Linked DNA regions of Anolis sagrei. The protein of the gene in region 1 purifies or fractionates together with the protein of each later gene. This does not show direct contact. Links are inferred from orthologs where the notes say so. Each region holds a gene or a part of one and is shown on either strand. Other genes may lie near its edges. The genes, in order: PPP6C, PPP6R3, PPP6R2 and ANKRD44.

Region 1 (7,675 bases):
TACTACTACTACTACTACTACTAATAATAATAATAATAGATTCTGTAGGGTAAATACCCCTGGTCCATAGTACTACTGTTAGTAGTAGCACTATTACTAATAATAGATTCTGCAGGGTTAATGCATCCCTGGTCCGTAATACTACTACTACTACTACTAACAATAACAATAGATTCTGCAGAATAAATGCACCCCTAGTCCTTACTACCACTACTACTAATAATAATAATAATAGATTCTGTAGGGTAAATAGACCCTTGATCCATAGTACTACTACTAGTAGCATTACTACTAATAATAGATTTTGCACAGTAAATGCACCCCTAGTCCTTACTACTACTACTGCTGCTGCTAATAATACTTAATAAATAATAATAATAATAATAATAATAATAATAATAGATTCTGTAGGGTAAATACACCCCTGGTCCATAGTACTACTACTAGTAGCACTGCTACTAATAATAGATTCTGCAGGGTTAATGCATCCCTGGTCCTTACTACTACTACTACTGCTACTAACAATAACATTAATAACAATAGATTCTGCAGAATAAATGCACCCCTAGTAACTACTACTACTACTACTACTACTAATAATAATAATAGATTAAATTATAGGGTAAATACAACCCTGGTCCATAGTACTACTACTACTAGTAGCACTACTACTAATAATAGATTCTGAAGTGTAAATGCACCCTGGTCACTACTACTACTACTGCTACTAATAATAATAATAATAATAATAATAATAATAATAATAATGGATTCTGCAGAATAAATGCACCCTTCGTCCTTCCAAATTACTATAATGCTTGAGTTGACAGTGTAAATGCACCCGTAGTCCATAAGATTTCAGAGCTGGAATGAAAAAGGGTCGAAAAATCCAAACCCATTTGCGCTTACTTATATCAATGGAGAAGAGGTCGCCGTAAAACGTGTCGCTGGCCAAGCCGCCGTGGATGAAGAGTCGGCTCCCGACGGCCACCATTGCATGGCCATGCCGAGGCGTGGGAGCCTGGCCCGAAACCTCCGGTTGGAGCCATGTCAACGTGGCTACGTGGGATGAGAAACACTGGGGTGAGATGGGAGAAAAGTCCTCCCAAAATCCAATCAGATTGTTGTCAATTGAAGCTTCGAGTTGGAGGGGACACCAAAGGGCATGCAAGTCCAACAACCCCCTTCTGCCAGGCAGGAAGGCACAATCCGATCCCTCCCGACAGATGCCATTCAGTCTGTACTTTGAAGCAGTCGAAAATCACAGGATGTGTTTTGACAAAATAAACAAGTCTCTACTTAAAAGCTCATAGATCTCTTCCAACTCTAGGGACCTCTTTTACTTCCCAAGAACCAAAACTCAAGAGCTAACCTGAGTCAAATATGTGAAGCTGCTGGTCTTGAACAGGGTCCGCTCCTTTGTCGCCGCCTCCAAAGACATACAAACGGTCCCCGATGGCCGCTGTGGACGTGTGAAAGGTCCGAATGGATGGAGGAGTCCCGCTTACCTCCGGCTTCTCCCATGTGCCAGTCTCTAAGGAGGAAAGCAGACAAACCATTGTTTGGTCAGTGGATTTTGGAAGGAACTACAGCCGTCCTTCCACATTATAATATAATATAATATAATATAATATAATATAATATAATATAATATTGTATATACATATAATATTTATAATATTATAATGTAATATAAAATAATACTAATAATATATTTTAATTATATAGTTTATATTACATGTAATATTACTAATAATATTAAAATATAATGATATAGTACAATATAGTAATATATAATACTGATATTGTACTCTCTTCACTCTGGCCTAGAGCGGCACTTGGTGCTGGTGGAGGGGTCCCCAAATATCCCACACTGCCTCAGGATATATCAATATCATAGGTATATGCTTAAAAGGCCCATGGGGATCTTAGTTATGATCCAAAGCAGTTTTTATTTATTTATGTATTTATGATATTTAAATACCGCTCTTCTCACCCCGAAGGGGACTCAGAGTGGCTTACATGATATATATACATACAATATATTATATTATTAGCCTAGTACAATATCAGTATTATTTATTACTATATTTTACTATATCTTTATATTATAATATTATTAGTAATATTACATGTAATATACAATATTTAATTATAATATATTATTAGTATTATATTGAATTAGATCATAATATAAATATTATATTATATTGTATATAATATAAATATTATATGTATATACAATATATTACATTATTAGCATAGCACAGAAGACAAGCTTTTTTTAAATACTGCTTTTACAGATGCATTCAACAATGTTGTGCCCCACCTTGAGGAGAGGGAGGTAAGAAATAAATTATTATTATTTATTAGAAATGGAGCCCCTGGTGTCACAGCAGATTAAACTGCTGAGCTGCTGACCAAAAGGTAGGTGGTTTGAATTGGGGGAGCTGGGGAAGCTCCCACTGTTAGCCCTAGTTCCTGCTGACCTAGCAGTTTGAAAATATGCGGCGGGAAGGTAATGGTGTTTCATGCAGTCATGCCAGCCACAGTCATTGAATCCTTGACAGCAGAAGGTGTCACCCCAAAAGAGATTCATCAGAGAATGCAAGCTGCTTGTGGTGGTTGTGTTGATGTGAGTACTGTGCGTTGTTGGGTGAGTAAGTTTAAAGGAGAGGGAGGTAAGAAATAAATTATTATTATTATTTATTAGAAATGGAGCCCCTGGTGTTGAGGTGACATCTTCTGCTGTCAAGAATTCAATGACTGCACATTGCTTAAGTCGTATTGACTGACCATCTGCGCAGGGTTCCATACTTTGCACTTTAACAACACAACAGTTCAATGCTAAGGCTTCCCGCCAAAATGGAACTGTAGAGGAGAGTCTACTGGACAAGCCAGTACCTGCCACATACCAGTACTGCCATCTATTGAGAAGTTACGAAGGTGGAGACATTACTTTTCATTCAACCTTCGTAGAAAACAAGAAATACTTACGAAGGTCCAAGACCTGCAGGCAATTCCGGTTGCCACCTTCGCTGGCTCCTCCGAAGACCCAGAGCTTTGTGGGCTGGCTTTCGGGAATGAAGGCAGCCTGTTCGTATCGGGGCAAAAGGCCTGACCACTTTGGGGCGCTCCACTTGTGCGCATCTGTTGGGAGACAAACAGGTGAGAAAGCACCACTTGGTCCAAGTAATAATAATAATAATAATAATAATAATAATAATAATCTTTATTTGTACCCCGCCACCATCTCCCCAGTGGGGACTCGAAACAGCTTACATGGGGCCAAGCCCGGACAACATATTACAGCAGAATGAAACCAAATACATAAACAAAAAACGTCTACACCGGGGAGTTAATGCGGTTTGATCCCTCACCGAGGTCAAGGGTATAGGAGTCGGAGAAGCTGCCGTTCGGGTCGGCCCCTCCGACGATGAGGACGGTGCCTTTCTTGTTGTTCGGGAGGTGAAACGAGACATGGCCGACGCGGGGGCAAGGGCCCTCCCCAAAGGGAACCAGGGAGTACCTACAAATAGAATAATAATAATAATTTAATGGGTTGCTGTGAGTTTTGCAGGCCATGTTCCAGAAGCATTCTCTCCTGACATTTCACCCACAGCTCGGAATATCTATATCTGGAATGGGTCAACTTCGGCCCTCCCTCCAGGTGTTCTGGACTTCAATTCCCACAATTCCTAACAGCGAATTGTGGGTATTGAAGTCCAAAACACCTGGAGGGAGAGCCGAAGTTGACCCATTCCTTATCTACACTGCTGAGTTAACCCAGTTTCATACCACTTGAACCACCCTGGCCCTATATTCTAGGACTTTGGTGAGACAAACATATTTCATTAAAACATTAAAACATATTTCATTAAAACACGCATTCATTCCCCCATCTGCATTCACACGTGCACCGCAGACCCGTGTTTACAGCGCACCAGCTGGCTACTTCCGGTTTGCTCCCAGGCTTCAGCTCTTCCAGCGCCGCTGGCGACATTGATGCAAAGGGGGCGGGGTTTGGTGCTGTCGCCACGCCTTCTTCGTCGTTGCTAGGAGATTTTAAGCCCCGCCTCCAGGCTGCTGCAGTCGACCTGCCACCTTTTTCGCCAAGAACCAATCCAAACGCCTCTGCGCATGCGCGGAAGCCGAACACAGAGAGACCGAAAAGGCCTTCGGAGACGGAAGGAATGTTTCCGCGCATGCGTAGAGACGCGAACGAAAAGAAGCGCGAACGAAAAGGACCATTGAGAAGAAAGAGGGTTTTCTGCGCATGCGCAAAGGGCGGAAATATAGAGCGACAAAGGGAAGCGGAAGGGTGTCTTCTGCGCCTGCGAAGGGGAGGCCCTTCGGAGGTGGAGAGGGTGTCTGCTGAGCCTGCGCAGAAGCTGGGCACAAACCCTCTGAGTGGAAAGAGGGCTTCCTCTGCGCATGCGTACAGGGAGGAAATACAAAGGGAAGCGCCATCGGAAAACGGAGGTGTCTTCCGCGCCTGCGCAGAAGCTGGGCACAAACCCTCTGAGAGGAAAGAGGGCTTCCTCTGCGCATGCGTAAAGGGCCGGAATACAAAGGGAAGCCCCTTCGCAAACGGAGAGGGTGTCTTCTGCGCCTGCGCAGAAGCGGCGAAGGGGAGGCCCTTCGGAGGCGGAGAGGGAGTCTTCTGCGCCTGCGCAGAGTCTGGGCACAAAGCGGGAGAAGGAAAGGGCCTTTGAGAGGAAAGAGGGCTTCTTCGGCGCATGCGTAGAGCCGACAGAGGAGGAGAGGGCGCCTTCTGCGCCTGCGCAGAGGCCGGGACGCTCAGGAGCGGATGTCCTCTGACACAATCCGGAAGTGGCCGCTCTCGCTTCCTGTCCCTTGACTCTCCTATGCCCCTTCTTCCTTCCGCTTTCCAAAATGGCGCCGCTGGACTTGGATAAGTATGTGGAGATCGCACGGCTCTGCAAATACCTGCCCGAGAACGACCTCAAGGTGAGGCCTGGAGGAGGAAGAGGGCCCGAAGCCTATTACACTAGGCCTGGGCCAAGTTGGGCCTTCCCTCCAGGTGTTTTGGACTCCAACTCCCACAATTCCTAACAGCCGGTAGGCTGTTAGGAATTGTGGGAATTGAAGTCCAAAACACCTGGAGGGAAGGCTTAAGTTGACCCAGGCCAGGTTTAGATGGAGATATAGAGAAGTCATGCACTGTGTGTATTGTATATAAACACTAAATTCATTCCATTGATCTGTTCTATTCTATCCATCCTTTGATCTATTCTATTGAGGGGTTGAGAGGAGACACGAGGGTTTTGGACACGAGGGCCATGTACAAATATGTGAAAGGATGTTACAAGGAAGAGGGAGCAAGAAATGATCTTTCAGTTGAGGTGTTTCAAGCTTTAAAGGTTACAAGAAGCACTTCGAACTGGGCTTGGAGATGGTATGGTTTTACTTCTGTTGGCACAATGTGGTCATTTCAGCCATTACTAGCCAGAAATGTTCCTGTGTTTTTATTTGCAATTATGTTGTTCACAATATGGAGAGCTCTTGTATTAAAACGATGTCCTCGTTCTAGCGCTTATGTGACTACGTGTGTGACCTGCTCTTAGAAGAATCAAATGTGCAGCCGGTTTCTACCCCAGTTACAGTCTGTGGCGACATCCATGGACAGGTGAGATTTCTCACGCATTTACATACTGTGGAGAATTTGATGGTATTTTCCTCTTCCATATAGTGGTTTTGGCTTTCTAAGCAATAGTTGCTATAGCTTAACGTGATCGGTACACTGGGTGCAGTGCCTAAAGACCTTGACCTGCATTTAAAAACAATCAGCGCTGGCAAAATTACCATCTGTCAGCTGCAAACGGCTGCCCTACTCAGATATGCACTCATTATTTGTTCATACATCACACAGTCTTAGACGCTTGAGAAGTGTCTGACATGTGTTCCAGTACAAAAGCCAGCATGGTGATCTTGTTTATTGTGTACTAATGTATATTATTATTATTATTATTATTATTATTATTATTATTAATGACATTTATATGCCGTCCTTCTAACCCCGAAGGGGACTCAGAGCAGCTTACAAGATATATATACATACAATATATTATGTTATTAGCATAGTACAATATCAGTATTATTTATTACTATATTGTACTATACCATTATATTGTAATATTATTAATAATAGAACATTAAGATCGTCTGGGGAGGCCCTGCTCTCGATCCCGCCTACGTCACAGGCTCGCTTGGCGGGGACGAGAGACAGGGCCTTCTCAGTGGTGGCCCCTCGGCTATGGAATGCCTTACCGGCAAACATCAGACAGGCACCTTCGTTGCTGACGTTTCGGAGAATGGTTAAGACCTGGCTTTATGAACAAGCGTTTGGTTAAGCAGTGCAACCAATCAAAGGAAGACGGTAAATGGAACATAGGAATGGCAGAATGATTATGAGAACGGATCTGATTCAACTGAGGCGTTATGTTATGTTTGTTTTGTTGATTTGTCTTGTTTGATTGTTAATTGTTGTGGATTGATGCTGTTGATCCTCCTTTTTGCATTGTTATGTTTTAATTGCACTGACACTGTTTGATAATTGTACCATGTAATTGTACCATTGAGTCGCCTGTTTGGGCTGAAAAATGCGGTATAGAAATAAAGCAAATAAATAAATAAATAAATAAATAATAAATAATATTACATGTAATAGAAAATATATAATTATTATAATAATATTATTAGTAGTATTATATTGCATTACATTATTAAAAATGATGATGATGCACTTTATTTATATTCCACCCATCTCCCCGAGGGGACTCAAGAGCAGATAACAGCATTTACAGCAGACATTGGCCAACGTTCAATGCCTTACAGTCCCATACAATAAGAGACACAAACACAGACATGGCAAAGGATTGTCCTTTCTCATTTCCGGTTTCTGGAGGTGTAGTGCTCTGTTCTGCCTCTGGGGGAGGTGTTCTCTATTTGCAAGCCGAGGAGCCTGTGTTGTCACCTCCTGGTCATGTGGCCTGCAAGACTGCTGTCTTTTCCTGCTGTAGCAGTACTTATTTATCTATTTACCTTTGTATGTTTTTGAAGTGCTAAGTTGACAGGAGCTAGGGCTAACAGCAAGAGCTCACCCCATTCCATGAATTCGAACTGCCAACCTTTAGGTCAACAATTTAGCAGCACAAGGGTTTAACCCATTGTGCCACTTTGGCCCCATTAATAAACATTACAATATAATTAAATATAGGAGTAATAACAATTAATAATTCAAAACAATACAGCAATAAACACTATTAAAATTCATAAATACCAACCAGCACCCTCTGCTTTGATATAATCTTTAACATTGTCTTCTTTTTTTGCCTTTCAGTTTTATGATTTATGTGAATTGTTCAGAACTGGAGGCCAAGTTCCCGACACAAACTACATATTTATGGTGTGTATAAATAGAAATCTGAAAATGTATACATTTACTAATGTCATAACATTGCAACTTAATCTTCAAGGTAGCTGTTTCTTTTGTTTTGCTACTCAGCGTGTCTCGCCTCTTTATGATGTTGTTTGTTTGTTTGTAGCCTAATGAGGGCTAGTGGGGAAGGAAATAAACAATTAGATCCTTGTCAATAATCATTTTTTAAATTTACATTTCGCTTTCTATGTTATAGTTACTGGACGGTGTGCA
Region 2 (8,008 bases), on another chromosome or scaffold:
ATCAAAATGAAAATGCAGTCCCTAGAAGACTTCACAACATCTATTACAGATCTCCTCACCCTTGTGTACCCCCACCAAGTCATTAGTAAAAATAATATCAAACTGAGACAATGAAACAGCAGTGGTGAGGTTGTTACAATAAAAGAGAAAAATTTTGAATGGTCTTAATCTTCTCAGTCTGAACATAGTTTAAGATACATTATTTCAAGTTTGTTTAGTTAGCAACTTGCATTTTTTTTAAAGAACTGGTGTTCATTTTAATATCAACTAAACATTTTCCCTACACTGTATCCAGGAAGCAAGAAGAGTGTACTGGTTAGAACAGAATCAGAGTAATAGGATCATAGAGATGAAAGAGACCTCATGGGCCATCCAGTCCAACCCCCTGCCAAGAAGCAGGAAAATCGCATTCAAAGCACCCCTGACAGATGGCCATCCGGCCTCTGCTTAAAAGCCTCCAAAGAAGGAGCCTCGGGGACAGAGAGTTCCACTGAACAGCTCTCACAATCAGGAAGTTCTTCCTAATGTTCAGGTGGAATCTCCTGAAACAGTTGTATTTTTGTGGGATTAGAAGTCCTGCCAAAACTTTTTGCCTAGAGCTGGTTGCTTATAGTTTGGCCTTTTGGGTTATCACAATGATAAAGCAGTTCAACACACTAGATTAATTCTCATTACTCATTCAACTCAAAACCCTGCTTGAGGGATTTCTTTAGCTCAAAAACCAAGTGCAGGATTATACTTCACTCAAGTAAATAAAGGGTAACTTTACAACTATTCTACATTAGTCAGACCTCACCTGTGTCCAGTTCTGGGCATCACTGCTAAAGAAAGATATTGACAACCTGGAATGTGTCCAGAGAAGAGCAACCAAAATGATCAAAGATTTGGAAGCCAAGCCCTGTGAGGAATGGCTGAAGGAGCTGAGTATGTCTAGCTTAGAGAAAATAAGGCTAAAAGGGACATGAGAGACATGTTTAAATATATGAAGGAATGTCACATTGAGGAGAGAACAGGCTTGTTTTCTGCTCCTCGGGGATACATTGAGCAATAGATTTAAACTGCAGGGGAGGGGATTAGGAAAAACTTCCAGGTGGTAAGAGCTGTTTAGCAGTGGAATCTGCTGCCTTGGAGTCTTCTTTTGAGGAGTTTAAGCAGGGCCTGATGGACATCTGTTGGAAACGCTTTAATTGTGTATTTCTTAATGGCAGAATGGAGTAGGACTGGATAGCTTGGGTGGTCTCTTCCAACTCTATGATTCTATCTCCACACAGGTAAAGAAGTGACTTCATAGCCTAAAGTTTGTTTAAAAAAAAAAACCTGAAAAATGAGACGTACTGCAGGTTTTTTTTTATAAAAGTGGTTCCAGCAGGGAACATGAATAGACAATAATATTGCAAAAAGGTTGGTGTGGACAAGGAAAAGGGCCTTCTCAGTGGTGCCCCCCCCCCCCAACTCTGGAATGCCCTCCCCAGGGAGATTAGACAGGCATCTACACTCACGGCATTTAGGAGGGACTTGATGGCCTGGTTATTTAAACAGGCTTTTGGCAGTGATTAGTCAATCTTTAGGATATGGATTTATGATAACATGCCTCTTTTAGCTCATAGGAATGATTGTGTTTTAAATCTAATGTTCATAATTTTATTGTTAACTTTTGTTACTTGATTTTCTAGTTGTGTCCAACTCTGGGGGGTGGTGCTCATCTCCATTTCTAAGATAAAGAGCTGGCGGTGTGGAGCGCCATTACCTTACCACAGAAGGGGTGCGTATTGATGTACTCACATTTGCATGTTTTCAAACTACTAGGCTGGCAGAAGCTGGGCCTGACAGCGGGAACTCACTTCGCTCCCCAGATTCGAACCACCAACCTTTCGGTCAGCAAGTTCAGCAGCTCAGGGCTTTAACCCACTGTGCCATCGGGTATGTGTTATTGTTTATTCCACTGTATGTATTTTACTAGCCGTCCCCTGCCACACGTTGCTGTGGCCGTTTGTGTATATGTGTTTTGTGTATATATATGTGTGTGTATATGTGGTTTTGTGCATGCATTGTAATGAGGAGTTGTTGTTGTTTTTTTGTTTTGTTTTTAAGTCCCTTCTGCTGTGCTTTCCAGTGTTTTATGAGTGATGGTCACTCGTTGGCCTGATAGGTGTATTGTGTCCAAATTTGGTGTCAATTTGCCCAGTGGTGTTTGAGTTATGTTAATCCAAAAAACGAACATTATATTTTTATTTATATAGATTGTATTGTATTGCATTTGTTGTATTATTTATGATGTAAGCCGCCCCGAGTCCCCTGGGGAGAGGGGGCAGATATAAACTATTATTATTATTATTACTACTACTAATAATAATAATAACAATAATAATAATATTATAAATGGATCTCTTCGTGCAAGAACGGAGAAGAGTTCCCAAGCCAACAAGGCCGACCGTGAGGCAGAAAGGTGTGAATGGGTGAGGGGACACACGTGCCCCCGCCGCTCCCACCTCGGTGAAAGCACTGAGGCTGGATGACCATCTCTCGGGGTTGCTTTGATTGTGTTCCTGCATGGCATAATGGGTCTGGGCTGGATGTCTCTTCCAACTGTTTGATCCCGTAAGGGCTGCTGACCCAAGCCCCCGGGGGTCGAGGAGAGGAGTTTCCTCGCCCAAGAGCCCCTTCCTCTCTCTCTTACGGCAAGAGGGTGCATGCAGGAGAAGGCCATGGCGGGGCGGAACAGGGGGAGAGAGGGGGAAAGGCACCCCGAGGGGCCTGCGAGGAGGAGGAACAGGAGAAGAAGCAAGCCACCAGGCCGCTGAATGGCAGAGAGAAAGGCGGGACGGAAGGAGCCCTGTGGCCGCTCGCCACGGAGCCAATGAAAGAAGCAAGGCCAGGCCTCGGCTCAAACCCTTCCTGCCCTCCCCTTAGAGAAGCGGCGGCGGCGGGCCCCCCTTCTTCCCTCCTTCCTTTCTCCCCGGGCGGCACAAGGATGGACGGAGGAGCCGTCCTGAGAGGAAGCGGACCCCCGCCCGAAGCCCCTACCTCAGCCAGTGCGTCTCCCCCTGGCGGAACCCCCGCTCAGGCGGGAAAACGGCCGCTCGCCGCCATTACCGACTCTTCAAGATGGCGGACATGGCTCTCCAGAGCCTCCTCTCTCCCCGGTTCTGCCTCCCTCCCTCCCCCCATTCCTGCCAATCATTCCTCCGCGGCGCACACCTTTCCTCATCAATCGCCTCTCCTATTGGACAACGGGGAAAGCCTCTGTTTGCTATTGGCTTACCTATGCTGTCGATCACAAGGCAAGGCGTTTGCCATTGGTCAATAAAAGGATAAGGGCCGGGGTCACGGCTTCATTTAACCCAATCAGCGTGTTCAAATGGGCCCCTCTCAGTTCTCATATTCACGCCTTAGCAACAATGTTACGACACCTTGAAGGACATTCAAACCACCCAACCAAAATCTTCATTGCCGTTTAAAAATAAACCCACAGTGGCCAATCACTTACCGTAGGGCTCTGACCAATGAGAATTAAAGGAGGCGGAACTGAAGACGTTCTTCATACGTGTTTTCCTATTGGACATAATAAAAAAACCACTCCCCCAAAGAGAAACTAAAATCCGAAACTGCCTGGCAACAGCGCATCTTTAATAGCAGTGGGTGTGGCTAAAAGAACGTTGTTCTGGAGGGCGTTTAGATATCTCCCATTGGAAAGCAGCCGCCGGGAGGGGAATTAGCTCAAATGGTAGAGCGCTCGCTTAGCATGCGAGAGGTAGCGGGATCGATGCCCGCATTCTCCAGTTTTGCATTGGGTTCTTCAGGAATCTAAATTCTGTTTTGTAGTTATGGTATCTCATAATAGACCGAAGCTAAAAATGCTTCATTCCGAATGAATGACAGTGTTATTCTTCACAATATTCTGGAGCTCTTGGGCTTTAAACTCTCAAAAATACCTCCCAAAACAGAACTTGGTGAAGCTCACTCTGGCAACTCTATAGCCAGCATCATCCAGGTCACAATATTCCCAATTTCAAAGGGAACCATTTTATTTAAAATGTGCTGGAAGAGTATGGTTTGCCAAAGTGATAAATGGGTCCTTGAGAAAATCCATCTTGAAGATCAATCCTGGGGGCTCAAGGCGGCTAACAAACCCACACATAATTTTAGAAGTTCAATACAAATACAACATTTTAATAATAATCATAATAATCACGATATGAGGATTTAAAGATTGAACTGCAAAGACTCAGGCACAAGCCAGTCAAGGTGGTCCCAGTAGTGATTGGCACACTGGGTGCAGTGCCTAAAGACCTTGGCCTGCACTTAAACACAATTGGCGCTGACAAAATTACCATCTGCCAGCTGCAAAAGGCCACTTTACTGCACGCGTTATTCGCCGATACATCACACAATCCTAGACACTTGGGAAGTGTCCAACGTGTGAGCCAATACAACAGCCAGCAGACTGATCTTGTTTTGTTTTTGTTTTTGTTTTTTTGTTTTTTTGTAAAATAAAAAAGTTCAAGTCAGGGATGGTGGTGTTGTCCAAACCAGAACCCTGAAACGTATCCCAAAATCCACAGCACCATATGTGCTCAGCAATGGAGTTCGCGATAACCTTTCCCCAAGTTTCAGGCAACTTTTGAATGTACCAATGTAAGACATCCAACTGGCTACTTTTCTGCCTCCACGAAATGTTCAGTAGAATAAATGGTTAATTGCATCTTTTGTGCCTCTGCAAGAATGCTCATTGTTTACCCCTATTTCAGCCCTTTTTAGTTAGAGGGAATTAGCATTTTGTATACAGTTTTGTGAGAGGTCAGTCTAGATAGCCTCTTTGCATTCGAAGCCTCCGTCACCCTGCCCCTTTAAGAATCCCCTCAGGGGCAGAGTATCAGGCAAGGCACTTCTAGCTCTTGGAGGAGTCAGGCCTTTTGGTGACTGGAAGGTGAAGACAGAGGAAGTCCAGAAAGTCTACAAAATAGCATGCTCAGTCAGAGCTGTATTGATGTCAGTCAAAGTTGTATTTAAGTCCAGCCAGAGTTAAATATTGAGACCATCTTAGAGACAGTGAACACCATACAAGAAAGACACAATAAGAAGAAATAACGATTCCAGAGACTCACTTTGGCCAGAACTCTGTCTATCTCTCAAATACTTTGCCTCTCCTCATAAAGGCTTTGTAGTGAGACTCAGAAGGAGAGAAGCCCTAAAATTCTTGTCAGTTAATAAATTCTTGTTTGATTTAGCTAAATAGTCTCTGATTTGTTCCCTGCACAGCCAGTTCACCTTCCAAGTAGTTAAGTCAAAACAACACCGCTCTAACTTCTAAAGTTCTATATCGTTTTGACTATCACTCTGCAAGACAGTTCCTTTTGCTTTACTTAGACCATCAGTTCTCAAACTGTGCTCCATGAAGCCCTTAAGCTCCACAAAGCACAGTCAGGGGCTCTGTGCTTCCCTCCTCTTCCTCCCCCCCCCCCTTCCCCTCCAAGCACATGGCAGTGGGAAAGAAGGGACTGGTTAGCTGGTTGTTCCCCCACTTCCGAAGCACTGGAAGCACCAGCTGCTGAAGCCCGACCACCAAAAGCAGTGCAGCGAAGAAGGGCAAGACCAGGGCCAGGAGGGTGGGGGCAGTGGCACCAGTGGGACTCTATATCGTTTTGACTATCACTCTGCAAGACAGTTCCTTTTGCTTTAGAGCAGCGTAGCGGTGGCAGCAGTGGGAGTCCTGTAGAGCACAGACCAAGGGTCTTCCACTGAAATACCATTAAGATTGTGTTGGTTAAAATTGTTAATATTTTAATTTTAAATGTTGTATTGTTTTTGTGGTGTGTTTGTGTTGGTTAAAATTGTAAAAAAATAAATATTGTATTGTTCTTTCTTTCTTTCTTTCTTTCTTTTTTCCACCTCAAACGAGAAGTGTGCATAGAAATTAGTTGATTAAAAAAAAATCATTCACACAAACACTCTCCATCCATTTGCCACTGGTCCAGCCCGTCTGTCAAATTTTAAAATGCAGTGCAGCCCTTATGTCAAAAGTTTGCCCATGCCTGATACACACACACATACACACACACATTTCTTGGGGCTCAATGATAAACCTTTCCTTCAAAAAGTGATCCATGGTTGAAAAAGTTGGAGAACCTCTGACTTAGACTAATAAATGGGTTTCTGTATGAAAGGCTTTCTATCAGATAGAATTTTCGTTTTCCATGTGATTGAGCAATGCACTGTCACTCAGATTCCCCACCACCCACTGATACTCAGATCACACCTCTGTCATGAAGGCTGCCTCGGGAGGTTTTCTTCTGATATGCAGTCCTGCTCCAGACATCATCTCGTGTGACTTGAATCTTTGCTTGCATGCTTCCTGCAATCTTAAATCTTTGTTGCTGTGCAAATTCTTCCGGCTTTATTCATCATCTCCTAATTTCTCTTCTTGCTGACTTGTTTATATTCTGTTCATGGCCTCCCAACCATATATACTGTCCAGCCAGAAACCTCTAGCCAATCAGTTAATAATCATCTTCAATTAGTGGATACAAGCCCACCTTTCATAAATTGAGAAGACATAGGACTAACAAACTGCAGTCAGTCCCCAAGTTATGAACAAGATAGGTTCTGTGGGTTTGTTCTTAAGTTGAATTTGTTTGTAAATCAGAACAGGTACATTTTTAAGTGTAATACCAGTCAAATTAATATCATTGGATGACATAGGGCACTCCTGTGGGGTTTGTTTTGCTGTCTGAGCCCCTGTTTAGAAGATTTCACCTCACCTTCTGTCCCTGTGATTATTGGATTTTGAAAAAAAAATGGCTTGTTGTGGAAACAAAGATTGGTGATAAAGCTTCAGTGGAGACACCTTTCCCCCATGGTAAGTCTTTCAGGAGTGAATTTCCCTTCTGAGGAGTAGATTTTTCTCACTCCCTGTTGTCTCACCCTCCATTTGTAACATTGAGTCTTTTCTTAGTTGGATGTTTGTAACTCAGGGACTGCCTGTACTATGTTTTCAGTCCATCCAATCAAAATTTGCTATCCACTTATTCAGTCTATTTGTACATAGTCAGACCTTCCATATGCACAGATTTTGCGGCCATTCATGGTTTGAAAATATTGACACCCCCCCCCCCCAAAAAAACCAAACATTGATTTTGACATTTTATATAAGGAGTACCAATTTTTGTACACAAATATATATACAGAAACTGGACTCAAACATCCACAGATGTTGGTGTCCACAATATGGAAATCAAACTCCAGTGGATACCAAGGACCCCCTGTATAAGACAGAAACCCCTCTTTTGTATTTGCCAGCTATTTGTTTACCATAAGCTATAAAGTGGTGGGCTGAACTGCTCTTTGGCAATCTGCCATTTGACATTGACACCATGCTTCTCTGTAATCCAGTAATACAGTTTGTCTATACTTCACAATTAACTCTTCATCTCTTTGTTCTTGCTTCAGCAAAACCCCCCACAAATCTTTAACTTTTACCTCTGGTGACACTGCATTGGGGTAGTAAAGAGTGTCTTAGTACTTAGCATAGTGAACTATTTCCGAGAACTATTAATTTCAAAAAGTAGAAAAGTTGTGAATAGGTATATATTATTCATCTATATTCTGTTTAACGTTATCTGTGCCGAACACTATAAAATATTGGATTTATTAAAAAACAGTTGCCAAATAATCAATTGAGCTATTTGCTGATAGAAATCAGAATGAGATTTCCCTTAAAGGGAGCAAATTGACTGCAGCTATGTTATTTGGCTTTCCTTATGCATGGATGCAGCACAGCAATTCAAATTCCACAAGGGTAAAATAGGTGACCTACATATTGGCTTTGGACATCTGGTGTCTAATGTGTCCCTCCTCCTATCTTTTAACTCTTTCCTGTCCTCTGCATTCAAACACATAGAAGCTTCCACCTATTTCTATGGTGGCCTGCTAATTCACTTGAGAAAAATATTGAAGTTTGTGCCACCAGACTCTTTATTTTTGTTGTCTTCCAGTTTATGCTTAAGGCATA
Region 3 (7,825 bases), on another chromosome or scaffold:
GAGCCCGTACCCTGCGTTACGCCACTTCTCTTTGGGAAGAAGCAGGCAGGCATCCTGGTGGTCCAAGGGGCAAGGGGTCGACCGAGGGGGGGGAGGGAGGGGGCATCTGACCAGCAATGAGCTCTTGTGGCCAGTGGCGGGGAATGCCACCCAGGCAGGGATCTTGGGATGCCCAGAGGCCAGGCCAGCCCTTCGCAGCCAAGACGCCACAGAGGCCAAAGGGCGGGTCAGAGGGGGAGTGGCCTGGCACCCCCTCAGGGAGAGGAGGAGGAGAGGGGTGGTCAGGCATTTGAGGCTGGGGGAGGCACAGGGGATGACCCTCGCCCCAGACCCCAGGCGGCTCTCACCTCTTGCTTCAGGGGCAGCACGGGGCTGGCATCGGGCCTCTCCACCTTGGAGGGGATCCGCACCTGTGGAGCAAAGGCCGTCCTGCGAAGTCCGCTCCCTTTCCAGGCTGCGCTTTGGAGGGGGGGGGGCTTCACCAGGAGAGGTGGGTCCCAGAGGCCCCCCCCCCCCAGTTTTGTGTGAGAGAAGGTCTGTCGCGGTACCTGAATGACGACGCCCATCACAGGCAGGTTCAGCGTCTGGCCGGGCACCGGCGGGGGCCACTGGTCAATCTCACTGCACACTGGGGGAGGGAGGCAGAGAAGGGGAGCAGACACCCCTCAGCCAGGCCACTTGGGCCCACCACCTCCAGCCAGGGACTGGGGGACCCCCCCTTCTGCTCTGGCTCTGCTGGCAACACAAGCCAGGCTGTCTCACAGCCTGGGGAGGTGCCCGTGACCCTCCCTCACACCCAGGCCAGGAAAGGCCTTTCAGGAGGGCGTGTGCCCCCTCCCCACCACAGACCCTTCAGGCTGGACAAAGCCACTTGAGCCCACCATCTCTAGCCAGGGACTGGGGATCCCCCCCCCTTCTGCTCAGGCTCTGCTGGCAACACAAGCCAGGCTGCCTCACAGCCCGTGGGCCCCCCCTCTCACCCAAGCCAGGAAAGGTGGCGTGTGCCCCCTCCCCACCACGGACCCTTCAGGCTGGACAAAGCCAGCAAATCAGCAGCCTCTGCCCCACAGACATGGCCCAGGAGGCTCCCCCCCCCCAAAGTGCCCCCTTGCAAAGTGCTGGGCCACTTGAGCCCACCACCTCTAGCCAGGGACTGGGGACCCCCCCCCCCCCTTCTGCTCAGGCTCTGCTGGCAACACAAGCCAGGCTGCCTCACAGCCCGTGGCCCCCCCCTCTCACCCAGGCCAGGAAAGGTGGCGTGTGCCCCCTCCCCACCACGGACCCTTCAGGCTGGACAAAGCCAGCAAATCGGCAGCCTCTGCCCCACAGACATGGCCCAGGAGGCTCCCCCCCCCCCAAAGTGCCCCCTGCAAAGTGCCCCTCCTCCTCCTCACCGGCCTCCAGGCAGGGCTCCAGCTTGTCAAAGTACTCGGGGGCAATGAGCTGCAGCAGAGACTGGAAGAGGTTCACGTAGGGTAGGCGGGAGACCAGCACCAAGGACTGCGACACGGAGGCAGAGGGGGGGGGGGGGAGAAACACGCACACACGTGAAGAGAGAAGTGTCTGTGTCGCTCTCGGAGATACAATCCCCCTTGTAGGGGTCCTGCTGGGCCCGTGGATGTGCACGCATGGGGGGGGGGGGGTTGGGGGGACACGGTGGCCACTCACCTTCTGGAAGTACCCCCTCTTGACGGAGGAGTCCCTGACCTGCCGGAAGTAGACGTAGCCAAAGTAGTGGGCCGTCTCCTGCTGGGAGGGAGAAGGGGAGGAAGAAGGAGGCCCTTGAGGCTTTGTGGCCCCCATTTTGGGCCCAATCCCCAGGCGGGGCCCCTGTGTTCCTGACCTGCAGGGCGGCGGGGGCCTCCTTGCGGCAGGCGGTGGCGCTCTGGGCCCAGGGGCGCTCCCGGAGGCGGGACCCGGACTGGCGGAAGCGGAAGCAGTACTGCGTGTCCCCCAGGCTCCCTGGCAAAGGAAGGAAGGAAGGGAGATGGAAGGGAGTGGCAGGTGAGGGGGGGGGCAGAGGCAGAGAGGACCCCTTCTGGCTGCCTCTCCCCCCCCCCCCCCCCGAGGCTCCCTTTGGCCCCCTTCCGTGCCCCCTTCTCCACTCACCTGAATAGGAATCCGGGAAGGCCAGGTAGCAGATGCTGGTCTTCTGCAGAAAGATCAGAGGAAGTGAGGTGAGGCTGGGGGTGGCCACAGCGTGGGGGGGGGGGGGGAGAGAAAGAGGATGCAGGGCTTGAAGGGAATTGTGTGGGAGGGGGATGAAGGGGCCCCCACTGTGCTGAAAACACAATTCTGAAATACGAAGGCCTGGAACACAACTACACTGCTGAACCGTAATTAAAAGTTGCTCAACTGCTGACGACCACAGAGAAATGATTAACTGCTAAACTTTGGATGAAAAATGTCGTGTTTACGTCATCAGAGGCAATGGCTCCTGAAGTTAAGGGAATGTTTACAAGGTTCCTTACGTTAAGAAGGAAGCCAGCAAGGCTCCTTGAGAAGGGAAACCAAGGGTCAGTTAAGGAAAGTCAGCATCTGCCCAGGAACCGATGGGAGTCACCTTCTTCAACTGTCTTCGGAGAGTGACCCTTTCACCCATTTTGTGTTTGTTCCCATCTACAGTTGTCCTCATGAGGCACTTTCCCCCGTCCTTAATGAATCCTAGAATCCTAGAGTTGGAAGAGACCTGGTGGGCCCTCATCCAGTCCAACCCCATTCTGTCAAGAAGCAGGAATCTTGCATTCAAAGCACCCCTGACAGATGGCCATCCTGCCTCTGTTTCAAAGCTTCCAAAGATGGAGCCTCCACCACGCTCCGGGGCAGAGAGTTCCACTGCTGAACGGCTCTCCTTACAGTCAGGAAGTTCTTCCTCATGTTCAGGTGGAATCTCCTCTCTTGTAGTTTGAAGCCCTTGTTCCCTTGCGTCCTAGTCTCCAGGGAAGCAGAAAACAAGCTTGCTCCCTCCTCCTCCCTGTGGCTTCCTATTTGACTGTGTTTGGCCTTCCTAATGAAGGCCAAACCCCGTCACTGCTCCTCCTCCTTGGCTCCTCCCGCACAAATACAATTCTTCTATCCCGACCTCATCCAAGGCTTTAATATTTTATCTTGTGCATTTGGCCCGCCCTTTGTGATTGACTTTTATTATATCAATGTATTGTTGAAGGCTTTCCACAGATATATAAACCCCTTTTCCTAGTTCCAACAGACCTCACTACCTCTGAGGATGCTTGCCACAGATGCAGGCGAAACGTCAGGAGTGAATACCTCTAGACCAGTGGTTCTCAACCTGTGGGTCCCCAGATGTTTTGGCCTTCAACTCCCAGAAATCCTAACAGCTGGTAAACTGACTGGGGTTCCTGGGAGTTGTAGGCCAAAAACACCTGGAGACCCCAGGTTGAGAACCACTGCTCTAGACCATGGCCATATAGCCCGAAATACCTATAACAACTCAGTTTAATTATATCATTTTGCACTGTTTATTTTACTTTGCTATTTTATGTATTTTGTTGTGATGTAATCTTTCTATTGTGTTGTATTTTATTTTGCTATATTATTTTTGGGCTTGGTCTCATGTTAGCCGCCCCGAGTCCCCTTTAGGGAGATGGTGGCGGGTTATAGATAAAGTTTATTTATTTATTTATTTATTATTCAACGTCTTGGAACAGAATCAGCAGAAATACTGCTCCGTAAGAGACCTTGTAATATTCCTAAAATATTCCTGGTCTGGCCTCCACCAAGCTCTTCTCCATGGGAAGGAGTTGTGTGTCTGGCAGGGAGGCCGGTCTGCCATGCAACGCAGAGCCTGGCCACTTGCTCCTTTCTCAGAGGAAGGGAGAGAATGTGTTTTGGGAGTATGGGGAAAAGGGCAGATTTGCAGGGAAGCAACCGGGCCAAAGTGCAAGTGGTGCCCCCCCCCCATGGCTCTGGAACTCCCTCCCCAGGCTGAACTACATTCATGGAGCCTGGACTGCGGCTGTGTTCTTTCTCAGCCATATTATTTTGTTGTTGTTTACAATTGTGATTGTCTTTATATTTTATCTGATGTTTTTAATTTGATTGTGTTTTATCTGTAATTGTTGTCCCTTGTAAGCTGCCCCGAGTCCCCTTGGGGAGATGGCTGGCGGGGTATAAAAATCAAGTTGTTATTATTATTATTCTCCAAAAGGTTGAAGAAATGGTTGTGTATTTTGTGTGTGTGTGTGTTGGGAGTGGCTTTAGAAACTGCAAGTCGCTTCTGGTGTGAGAGAATTGGTCGCCTGGAAGGACATTGCCCCGGGGACGCTGCCCAGATGTTTTCCCACCCTTGTGGGAGGGAGGCTTCTCTCAGGTCCCCTTTGCATGGGGAGCTGGAGCTGACAGGGGGAGCTCAACCCGCTCTCCCAGGATTCGATTGTGAACTAACCAAGGGAAGCTTTTTAATGTTTGTGAGAGTTTACAAACACCAGCCGCATCTATCCCTGGCCTGGGCCCACTGGGGTCCTCCCTCTGGGGGTTTTGGACTACAACTCCCACCGGCTGTGAGGAACTGTGGGAGTTGTAGTCCAAAACCCCCAGAGGGAGGTCCCCAGTGGGCCCAGGCCTGGTGTTTCCCCTTTAAATCCTATGGCTGTTCCTGATGGGGCGTGGCCTCCCTCCCCGGGGGCGTGGCCTGGCTCCCTGTGGGCGGGGCTTACCTCCTTCTCGCTGAGCGCCGGCTCCGGCGGGTAGACCAGCTGCAAGGGAAGAAGGGAAGGGAGGGAGGGGCGTTAGAGCGGCGAGGAGGGGGCGGGGCCAGACGAGGGGGCGGGGCCAGGGGGCGCCGTGACGTCACCCGCGCTCCTCCCACCTCGATGGCCTGCCCGAGCTCCAGGTCGAAGGTGACTGCGCAGGCGCACTCCAGCCAGGCCGAGAGCCGGGCCCAGGGCTGCGCGGGCGGGGAGGGGGTCTCCTCCTCCTGAGGCGGCGGCGGCGGAAGAGAGGGGCTCCGGGAGGGGAGGGCGCCGCCGCTCGGAGGCTCCTCCATCGCCGGCCCGGGCGGGGAAGCGCCTCAAGCTCCGCCCCTTCCGCTTCCGGGGCTCGCCGCTTCCGGTTCCGGCTGCGCTCCTTGAGGCGTCCATTTTGGAGCCGGAGCCGCCAAGAAGGGAAGCCGAGCAAGAAAGAGGAGGAGGAGGAGGACGACGACGGTGGCGCGGGCCCCGGGTGAGTTCCGCCTCGTTCCTTTCCTCCAGGCCGATCAGGCCCATCCGGGAGGGAGGGAGGGAGGCCTTCCTTCCTTCCTTCCTTGGTGCCTGCAAGGGGCGCCCCAGGGAGAAAGGAGGCCCGGCCTGGCCCCAAGGGAGGAAGAGAGAAAGGAAGAGTCCTGGCGCCTCTTTGCCCGGAATCGCCCTGGCTCTCAATCTGGGCAAAACAAGTAGAGAGCGCGAGGGAGTCTGAGGTGGAAGGGGTCCAGGGGAGGAAGGGGAGGCTCCCCCTCAGAGGGCCACAGCCCTGGAGACCCCGAAGGAAGGAAGGAAGGAGGCTCCCTCGAAGGAGGAGCACCCTGGAGAGACGGGCCTCTTTCGCCCTCAGGGGAGAGGAAAGTGGAGAGGAGCCACGGCTCATAGAATCCTCAAGCTGGAAGAGACCTGGTGGGCCATCATCCAGTCCAACCCCATTCTGCCAAGGAGCAGGACAATCACGTTCAAAGCACCCCTGACAGATGGCCATCCAGCCTCTGTTTCAAAGCCCCCATAGAAGGAGCCTCCACCACACTCCCTCCGGGGCAAAGAGTTCCACTGCTGAACAGCACTTCTTACAGTTAGGAAGTTCTTCCTCATCTTCAGGTGGGATCTCATAAGCTTGAACCCATGGCTCCATTGCGTCCTAGCCTCCAGAGCAGCAGAAAGGAAGCTTGCCCTCTCCTCCCTAGAACATCCCCTCACATATTGATCCATGGCCTTCCTCATGTTTCCTTTCAGCCTTCTCTTCTGCAGACTAAACATGCATAGAATCCTAGAATCAAACAGTTGGAAGAGACCTCCTGGGCCATTCAGTCCAACCCCTTTCTACCAAGAAGCAGGACAATCGCATTCAAATCACCCCTGACAGATGGCCACCCAGCCTCTGCTTAAAAGCCTACAAAGAAGGAGCCTCCACCACTCTCCCACCGGGACAGAGAGTTCCACTGCTGAACAGCTCTCACAGTCAGGAAGTTCTTCCTCACGTTCAGATGGAATCTCCTCTCTTGTAGTTTGAAGCCATGGCTATTGTACTTTGAAACCATGGCTCCATTGCGTCCTAGCCTCCAAGGAAGCAGAAAGGAAGCTTGTTCCCTCTCCCTAGGACTTCCCCTCACATATTTATACATGATCCTGATCATGGCTACTCTTAGTCTGGGCATGTTTAGCCTGAAGAAGAGAAGGCTGAGAGGAGATATGATGAGAGCCGTGTATGAATATGTGAGAGGAAGCCACAGGGAGGAGGAGGGAGCAAGCTTCCTTTCTGCTTCCCCGGAGACTAGGACGCAGTGGAACAATGGCTTCAAACTACAAGAGAGGAGATTCCACCTGAACATGAGGAAGAACTTCCTGACTGTGAGGAATGTTCAGCAGTGGAACTCTCTGCCCCGGGGGGAGTGTGGTGGAGGCTCCTTCTTTGGAAGCTTTGAAACAGAGGCTGGATGGCCATCTGTCAGGGGTGCTTTGAATGCAACATTCCTTCTTCTTGGCAGAATGGAGTTGGACTGGATGATGGCCCAGGAGGTCTCTTCCAACTCTAGGATTCTATGATTCTTCTCTCCTTCAGGCTAAACATGCCCAGCTCCTTAAGCCGCTGCTCATAGGGCTTGTTCTCCAGACCCTTGATCATTTGAGTCACCTTCTTTGTCTGGACACATTCCAGCTTGTCAATATCTCTCTTGAATTGTGGTGCCCAGAATTGGACACAGTGTGATTCCAGGTGTGGTCTGACCAAGGCAGCATAGAGCGTGGGGAGCACGACTTCCCTGGAACTAGACACTAGGCTCCTGTTGATGCAGGCCAAAATCCCATTGGCTTTTTTTGCCACCACATCACACTGTTGGCTCACGTTTAACTAGTTGTCCTTACTTACTTAGGTGATCCCTCATAGTCCGAGGATGATGTTCCTCCAAGAGTGGTAACCTGGGGCTGGGCCCGTAGGTGGCTGTGGAGCCCTATTCTTGATCTGCATCTTCTCCCTTCCGCAGTGAGGGCATCGGTTTCCAGGTGGAAGGTGGTCTTGGTCGGGGTTGGCTTGACGTGCCTTCCTCTTGGCACGCTTCTCCCTTTCGCCCTCCATTCATGCCTCCTCAAATTCTGCAGCACTGCTGGTCACAGCTGACCTCCAGCAGGAGCGCTCAAGGGCCAGGGCTTCCCAGTTCTCAGTGTCTATGCCAGAGTTTTTAAGGCTGGCTTTGAGCCCATCCTTAAATCTCTTTTCCTGTCCACCAACATTCCGTTGTCCGTTCTTGAGTTCGGAGTAGAGCAACTGCTTTGGGAGACGGTGGTCGGGCATCCGGACAACGTGACCAGTCCAGCGGAGTGGATGGCGGAGGAGCATCACTTCAATGCTTCTTCCAGCACGCTGATATTTGTCTGCTTGTCTTCCCAAGAGATTTGCAGGATTTTTCAGAGGCATGTGACGTCTGTAGACTGCCCATGTCTCGCAGGCGTAGAGCAGGGTTGGGAGGGGAATAGCTTTATAGACAAGCACCTTGGTCTCCCTATGGATGTCCCGGTCCTCAAACACTCTCTGCTTCATTTGGAAAAATGCTGCACTCGCAGAGCTCAGGCGGTGTTGTATTTCGGTGACGATGTTGACTTTGGTGGAGAGGTGGCTGCCAAGG
Region 4 (7,837 bases), on another chromosome or scaffold:
CATGTCAGTTAAAATGGATTCAAACTGCATTAATTATATGGTGAAGATGTACCCCGAGCGAGTGAGTGAGACAGTCATATTCGGTACTATTCCTGTTTTGTTTTTGTTTTTAATTCTTTTATCTATATTTTTTACATTGTGGAAACAATCTGATTCAATTCTGCCATTTTGTTTCTTTACTTTTGGCAATAAATTTAAAACATTCATTCAATGTATCTACGGCCTTTCATGACCGCAAATTGCTGACATGATTCTTACTGTATTAATAGAATCACAAAGGCAGCAAATGAATGTTGATGCTAATCCTTTTGCACAGCTTGGCTCCCACCAGATGTGCCAGATTAGTAATCCCAACATCCTCAGCCAGCACATCTGATAGGAATTGTAATATATCTAGAATAGATCTGATTGTGGAAGGTTGTTTAGTGCCTGCACAACAAGACATTGATGATAACGTTAGCCACCACATTTCTTTAAGTGTCTTGATTACTTAAATATCTATATAAATAAAAATGTAATGTTCATTTGTTGGATTAACATAACTCATAAACCACTGGATGAATTGACACCAAATTTGGACACAAGACACCTAACAACCCATTGTATATCCTTCATTCATTTTTTTTTATTTTCTCATTTGGGAGTTGTAGTTGCTGGGATTTGTAGTGCACCTACAATGAAAGAGCATTCTGAACTCCACCAATAATGGAATTGAACCAAACGTGGCACACAGGACTCCCATGACCAACAGAAAACACTAGAAAGGTTTGGTGGGCATTGACTTTGAGTTTGGGAGTTGTAGTTTACCTGCATCCAGAGAGCATTGTGAACTCAAACAATGATGGATCTGGACCAAACTTGGCACAAATATTCCATATGCCCAAATATGAACACAGATGGAGTTTTGGGGAAATAGACCTTGACATTTGGGAGTTGTAGTCACTGGGATTCACAGTTCACCTACAATCAAAGAGTATTCTGAACCCCACGAACGACAGAATCAGGGCAAACTTCCCACACAGAACCCCCAGGACCAACAGAAAATACTTAAGGCCATCCAGTCCAACTCCCTTCACCAGGGCAAGAAAATGTAATCAAAACCCTCCTAACAAAGAGTCATCCAGCCATAGATATAGATAGATATGATTCACACACACACAGAGATATAGTATCATTGATTTGAAAGGGACTCCTAAAGAAAGACAATTATATGTTCTTGTTTCATGGAAGCTTTGCTTGGAAAATTCATGTTTTAAGTGCCTTTGTTTCATGGCTTTGATTCTTGGATTCTATGCTTTTATATTCATACCTTGGATTCATATTTCCTGATTTCTTGCATTTTATTTGGGAAGTTTTGACTTTGTTTTTATGGACTTTGCTGGACTATTACCCTGGACTACTTCGCTCCTGCTTTTCTTCCTACCTAATTGGATTTACCTATTTATTTAAAGTGTGTTTTTTTTTTTACTTTACTGCTTTTAATTATCTTCAATAAAAGGATTGTTTCCCTATCCAATGGTGTGGTATTTAAAGTCAGAGGGCAACAGACGGTAGCATTTGCAGGCCAATAGGAGAGTGTTCCCGACCTCCAGTGTAGACTTCCCTCTGTCCAATGGCTGAAGTGGGGCAGGAGAGTCCAGGAGATGAAGTATATAAAATGTCTGTTTTTATATTTATTGTACCAGTTTAAAATCCTTCCCAGTATAATTGCCATGTAGATGTGATTTTATTGATTATTTTTCCAATCGGAGCAGACCCATTTAATCAGTTGTTGCCTAGAGAATCAACACACAGACAAATCTCATTTAATAATGCTCAGTTAGGACTAACCAATCGCCTCTAGGCAACAATCCACCAAACTAATATAATTCCGATGTCATAAATCATGCTTTAGTATCTAGATGTATATGTGCGCACTGCAATAACTCTAGGCATTTATATATGTATATTGGGGCATGTTAATTCAGTGCATACTTTTGTCTAGACTTTCTACCAGCTTCTGGCCCTGGAATCTCTGGCATTCAGGTCTCTAGTTCAAATCTCAGCTGCTCCTTTCTGTTGCAGACAAAGATTTGGATGGAGATCTGGCAGGATTTAAAGACTAAGATACAACATGCCCCTTCTATCGGAAGGACCGTGTTTTGTCCAAACAGGCACATCATTAACAATAATTACGGATAGCAATGATGATTTAGCAATCTTTTCCCACGGCTATTAGTTTGAACAACACAAGCACAGTCTGCAAGCTTAGCATCTAAATGTCCAATTAATTTACATGTGTCCCAGTCCTGAATAAATGAAGTCCCCAAGTTACGAACAAGATAGGATATATGTGTTGTCGAAGGCTTTCATGGCTGGAATCACTGGGTTGCTGTGAGTTTTCCGGACTGTACGGCCATGTTCCAGAAGCATTCTCTTCTGATGTTTCGCCCACATCTATGGCAGGCATCCTCAGAGGTTGGAAACTACGCAAGTGAAATTTATATACCTGTGGGAGAAAGATCTCTGTTTGACGCAAGTGTGAATGTTGCAATTGGCCACCTTGATTAGCATTGAATGGCCTTGCAGCTTCAAAGCCTGGCTGCCTCCTGCCTGAGAGAATTTATTTATTTATTTAAAACTTTTGTATCCCGATCTTCTCTACCTCCATAGAGGGACTCAAACCGGCTAACAGCAAGGAATCAATGCTAACAATACAATCTAAAACATCGTACATCAACAATAAATTAAAATACATATAGACTAAAATACATAAAAGCCATTGCGTTTATCATGTCCCACTCAGCCGCATATGTGGTCGATAACTTGAGTAAATTGCCAGTCTCCGCCATCATTCTGGGAATGCCTCGTTCCATAGCCAGGATTTCACTAGCTTCATGAAGGTCAGTAGGGAGGAGGCAGATCTGATCTCAATTGGGAGAGAGTTCCATAGCCAGGGGGCCACCACAGAAAAGGCCCTGTCTCTTGTTCCCACCAGACGCGATTGCGAGGGTGAATCCTTTGTTGAGAGAATCCTTTGTTGGGAGGTGTTAGCTGGCCCTGATTGTTTATTGTCCGGAATTTCCCTGTTTTTGAGTGTCGTTCTTTATTTACTGTCCTGATTTTATGATTTTTTAATACTGGCAGCAAGATTTTATTCATTTTCATGGTTTCCTCCTTTCTGTTGAAATAGTCCACATGCTCATGGATTTGTATGTACGTTGAAACAGTGTAACTCCAACCACATACATATGCATATGCATAGTGCTTTGGATAGCATAGGGAAGGGGTAAACACCCCTGTGAAGTTTGTGCATCACTACATCTATATGGCATGTATGTATATGTAGATTCATCACTACATCTATATAGTATGTATGTATATATATAGATGCATCACTACATCTATATAGTATGTATGTATATGTAGATGCATCACTACATCTAGTATGTATGTATATTTAGATACATCACTATATCTATATGGCATGTATATATATGTAGATGCATCACTACATCTATATAGTATATATGTATATATAAATGCATCGCTACATCTATATAGTATGTATATATATATAGAGATGCATCACTACATCTAGTATGTATGTATATTTAGATAAATCACTATATCTATATGGCGTGTGTATATATGTAGATGCATCACTACATCTATATAGTGTATATGTATATATAAATGCATCACTACATCTATAGAGTATGCATGTATATATATGTAGATGCATCACTACATCTATATAGTATATATGTATATATATAGATGCATCAATACATCTAGTATGTATGTATATTTAGATACATCACTATATCTATATGGCATGTATGTATATGTAGATTCATCACTACATCTATATAGTATGTATGTATATATAAATGCATCACTACATCTATATAGTATATATGTATATATATAGATGCATCACTACATCTAGTATGTATGTATATTTAGATACATCGCTATATCTATATGGCATGTATATATATGTAGATGCATCACTACATCTATATAGTATATATGTATATATAAATGCATCACTACATCTATATAGTATATATGTATATATATAGATGCATCAATACATCTAGTATGTATGTATATTTAGATACATCACTATATCTATATGGCATCTATATAGTATGTATGTATATATAAACGCATCACTACATCTATATAGTATATATGTATATATAGATGCATCACTACATCTATATGTCATGTATGTATATGTAGATTCATCACTACATCTATATAGTATATATATATATATATGCATCACTACAGCTATATAGTATGTATGTGTGTGGGTGCATCTATATATCTCACACTAGAGAATGAATCCACTGCCTCCTGCAGAACACTGGGGTTTGTAGTTTAGGGAGAAGCCTTGAACAGCCTCCCTAAACTACAAACCCCATAATTCTGTAGGAGAAAGAAACCGGATTTTAAGTGGAATCATTCTCTAGTAGTGTGATGGAAATCTATATATCTGGACGCTAGGGAGAGAAAGCCGGGTGAGACACAAAGGAAAGGCTTTCCCGGGCCGGTCCTGCAGGGGGCAGCAGAGCGCTTTCCCGGCCAGGCGGGTGGGCGGTGCGAAGGCGCTTTTGCGGCCGGGCTCGGCAGGGGGCGCTGTGGCGCAATCCGAGCGCGGCTGCCTGCGCTGCGCATGGCTATATGGTGCGTGTGTGTGTGTGTGTCTACAGGGGGTGATGTCAGTGCCCCGAAGCCAGAGCGGGCTTGGCCAGGGACCAGCGGCAGCAGCAGCAGCAGCAGCCACGGGCTCGCTCTCTCCTTGATCCAGGAGGAGGACCGCCAGTCCATGCCTTTGAGCCAGGAGAGGGAATGGCAGTCCTCAAGCTCACCGACCAGGTAAGACAGAGAGAGACACATACAGACAGACAGACAGAGAGAGAGAGAGACAGAGAGGAGGAGGCTCAGCTGCAAAGGCTGAATGGCCAGAGCTGCTGAAGAAGCATTAGCAGCAGCATGTTGTTGTTGTTGTTGCTGCTGCTGCTGGATTGTAATTGTTGTTCTGGAGAGGAAGTGGGTGCTTGGCTTCCCATCTCCAGGGCTTGATCCTTGCAAAGGCATCCTTTCAGGGTTGGCTCCTTTGCAGGGGATCCCTCTGCTCATTGCCTTTCTGTGGCTTCTTTCTTTCTTTCTTCCTCTCTTTCTTCCTTGAGAAGGCATTTTTGGAGATTCACATCCTTCCCATTTCCTTCCCATTTCCCCCAGTAGCTTTAATAGCTTTGGATCCAGGCAGGAGGGGAGAGGAGAAGGCCAGCCATCTGTATTATTATTATTTATTATAGCATACTATAATATATTATATTACTATGTATAATATTATATCATTGTATTATGTGATGCTGTATTATTGTTTTATATTAGACTATATTGTAGGGTTGTTTTCTATTATATTATTGCTTTATTCTTGTTTTATATTATACTATATTATTCTTGTTTTATATTAGACTATATTATGTTATTATTATTACTGTTTATAATATTATATATTATATACTATTATATATTATATATTATATACTATTTTATATTATATATTATATATTATATATATTATTATATTATTATATACTATTTTATATTATATATTATATATTATATACTATTTATAATATTATATTATAATATTATATCATTGTATTATGTTATGCTATATTATTGTTTTATATTAGACTATATTGTATGGTTGTTTCTTATTATATTATTGCTTTCTTCTTGTCTTATATTATACTATTTTGTACATATTTTCGTTTTTTGAATATTATGAATATAATTGTTTTATTGTTTTACAATTTATTGATTTATTTATGACATTTATATGCCGCCCTTCTCACCCCGAAGGAGAGCTTACAAGTAAAAAGTAAATACAATATATTATATTATTATCATAGCATAATAATAATATTATATATTACATTGCACAGTATAACATTATACTGTAATATTATTAGTAATATTACATTTAATTCAAATGTAATACAAATGTAATATAAAGCCGGGAGGACTGAAGACCGGCAGGTCACAGTTTCGAATCCGGGGAGAGGCGGATGAGCTCCCTCTATCAGCTCCAGCTCCTCATGCGGGGCCATGAGAGAAGCCTCCCACAAGGATGATAAAAACATCAATCATCTGGGCGTCCCCTGGGCAACGTCCTTGCAGACGGCCAATTCTCTCACACCAGAAGTGACTTGCAGTTTCTCAAGTCACTCCTGACACGACAAAAAAAAATTAATACAAAATAATTATATTATTTATTATTATTATTATTAGTATATTGTATTATATTATAATATTATCAATATTATAACATTGCTATATTATTCATATTGTCAAGTAATGGCGAATTGACAGTTATTTTATTACTTTTTATACACATTATTGTTTTATATTATATCCTCGTTTTATGAATATTACAATCATTATTTTATTGTTTTATAATAAAGATTATAACATTGTTATATTCATATTGTTGTCAAATAATGGCTAATTGACCGTTATTTTATTACTTTATTATTTTGTGCACATTATTTTGTCAGTACTATTGTTTTATATTATATTCTTGTTTTATGAATATTACAATCATTATTATATTGTTTTATAATAAATATTATAACATTGTTATATTAGTCATATTATTGTGGAATAATGGCTCAATGACAGTTATTTTATTATTTGTACACATTATTTTATCAGTACTATTGCTTTATATTATATTATAACCTTGTTTTATAAATATGACGATTGTTATTTTATTATTTTATAATATTATATTCTATTATTCATATTGTTGTTGGATAATTGTTTAATTTAAAGTGATTTCTTAGTATTTTTATTATTTTATACATATTACTTTATCAATATCCCATATTTAATATTTATTTTATTATTTTGTACATATTATTTTATCACTTTGCCATTTATTATCATCATCATCAGGCCACCCTGTTCCTCCGCTGTACAAACCCAGTTTCTCTCATTGCCCTGTGAGATCAAGAGTTGTAAAAAATTACTAATATTGTTGAATAATTATTTAATTTCAATTGGTTTCTTATCTTTTATTATTTTATACATATTACTTTATCAATATGACATTTATTTATTTATTTTAAAAATTATTGTATGCACATTATTGTATTACTTTCCATTTATTATTATTATTATTATTATTATTAATCATTATCATGATCATTAGGCCTTCCTGTTCCTCTGTCGTGCAAATCCGGTTTCTCTCATTGTCTGGGGAGATCAAGCAGTTGTCAAAATCCTGGAGAAGGCTTTCATAGCATTAATGCAATAATAAACACCTCTCTCCCTGTGTGTATGTAATGTATATGTATGTATGTATACACTGTGTGTGTGTTTGTGTGTGTGTGTATATATCTATATCTATATCTATCTATATATATATTCATGCCTTGGGATGGTTATTGGACCAGTAGGGATTATTGTGGTAGGTTGGTTTGTATCTTGATCACCTTGAACTTGAGATCCCTCCACATTTTTTATTCTGCCGCCTCCTCCATCTGCATCCTGGGGGTGGGGAGGGAAGCGAGGGAGAGGAGAAAAAAAATATCTCTGTAACCATGATAGGATTAATTAAAACATCCTCTGTGATCTCTGGCATGGCTGGGGGTGTATCCTGCAGTCTTTACCCATCAATGCTTTGAAACCCTGGGATTTGTAGTTTGGTGGAGCACAGACATCCTTTGGCAAAGACTGTGCAAAACTGCAACTCCCATGATTCCGAAGCTTTGAACCGTGACAGTTCAAGTGGTGTCAAACTGCATTAATTCTCCAGTGTGGATGCACT

What was found.
Region 2: the proteins of PPP6C (region 1) and PPP6R3 purify together in Homo sapiens (affinity purification with mass spectrometry; 10 studies listed by BioGRID and IntAct, with this or other methods). This does not show direct contact. The link is inferred for Anolis sagrei from reciprocal best matches to the Homo sapiens genes PPP6C and PPP6R3.
Region 3: the proteins of PPP6C (region 1) and PPP6R2 purify together in Homo sapiens (affinity purification with mass spectrometry; 9 studies listed by BioGRID and IntAct, counting the BioPlex papers as one, with this or other methods). This does not show direct contact. The link is inferred for Anolis sagrei from reciprocal best matches to the Homo sapiens genes PPP6C and PPP6R2.
Region 4: the proteins of PPP6C (region 1) and ANKRD44 purify together in Homo sapiens (affinity purification with mass spectrometry; 5 studies listed by BioGRID and IntAct, counting the BioPlex papers as one, with this or other methods). This does not show direct contact. The link is inferred for Anolis sagrei from reciprocal best matches to the Homo sapiens genes PPP6C and ANKRD44.

The regions. Positions count from the first base shown.
Region 1 is NC_090031.1:6,410,439-6,418,113, reverse strand, and holds the start of PPP6C (serine/threonine-protein phosphatase 6 catalytic subunit), read left to right. Parts: upstream 1-4,556; 5' UTR 4,557-4,896; coding exon 4,897-4,971; intron 4,972-5,554; coding exon 5,555-5,650; intron 5,651-7,363; coding exon 7,364-7,429; intron 7,430-7,675. Other genes in the region: RABEPK (rab9 effector protein with kelch motifs), read right to left, coding at 910-1,059, 1,373-1,534, 2,998-3,150, 3,381-3,529, 3,945-4,207.
Region 2 is NC_090021.1:239,335,079-239,343,086, forward strand, and holds the start of PPP6R3 (serine/threonine-protein phosphatase 6 regulatory subunit 3), read right to left. Parts: upstream 3,167-8,008; 5' UTR 3,025-3,166; intron 1-3,024.
Region 3 is NC_090025.1:200,514,310-200,522,134, forward strand, and holds the start of PPP6R2 (serine/threonine-protein phosphatase 6 regulatory subunit 2), read left to right. Parts: upstream 1-4,810; 5' UTR 4,811-4,828; coding exon of another isoform or gene 4,829-5,005; exon of another isoform or gene 5,006-5,181; intron 5,182-7,825. Other genes in the region: protein DENND6B, read right to left, coding at 348-410, 549-628, 1,395-1,500, 1,669-1,749, 1,844-1,962, 2,110-2,152, 4,677-4,715, 4,829-5,005. UniProt on the Homo sapiens protein: Regulatory subunit of protein phosphatase 6 (PP6). May function as a scaffolding PP6 subunit. Involved in the PP6-mediated dephosphorylation of NFKBIE opposing its degradation in response to TNF-alpha.
Region 4 is NC_090021.1:178,796,840-178,804,676, forward strand, and holds the start of ANKRD44 (serine/threonine-protein phosphatase 6 regulatory ankyrin repeat subunit B), read left to right. Parts: upstream 1-4,677; 5' UTR 4,678-4,842; coding exon 4,843-4,869; intron 4,870-7,837. UniProt on the Homo sapiens protein: Putative regulatory subunit of protein phosphatase 6 (PP6) that may be involved in the recognition of phosphoprotein substrates.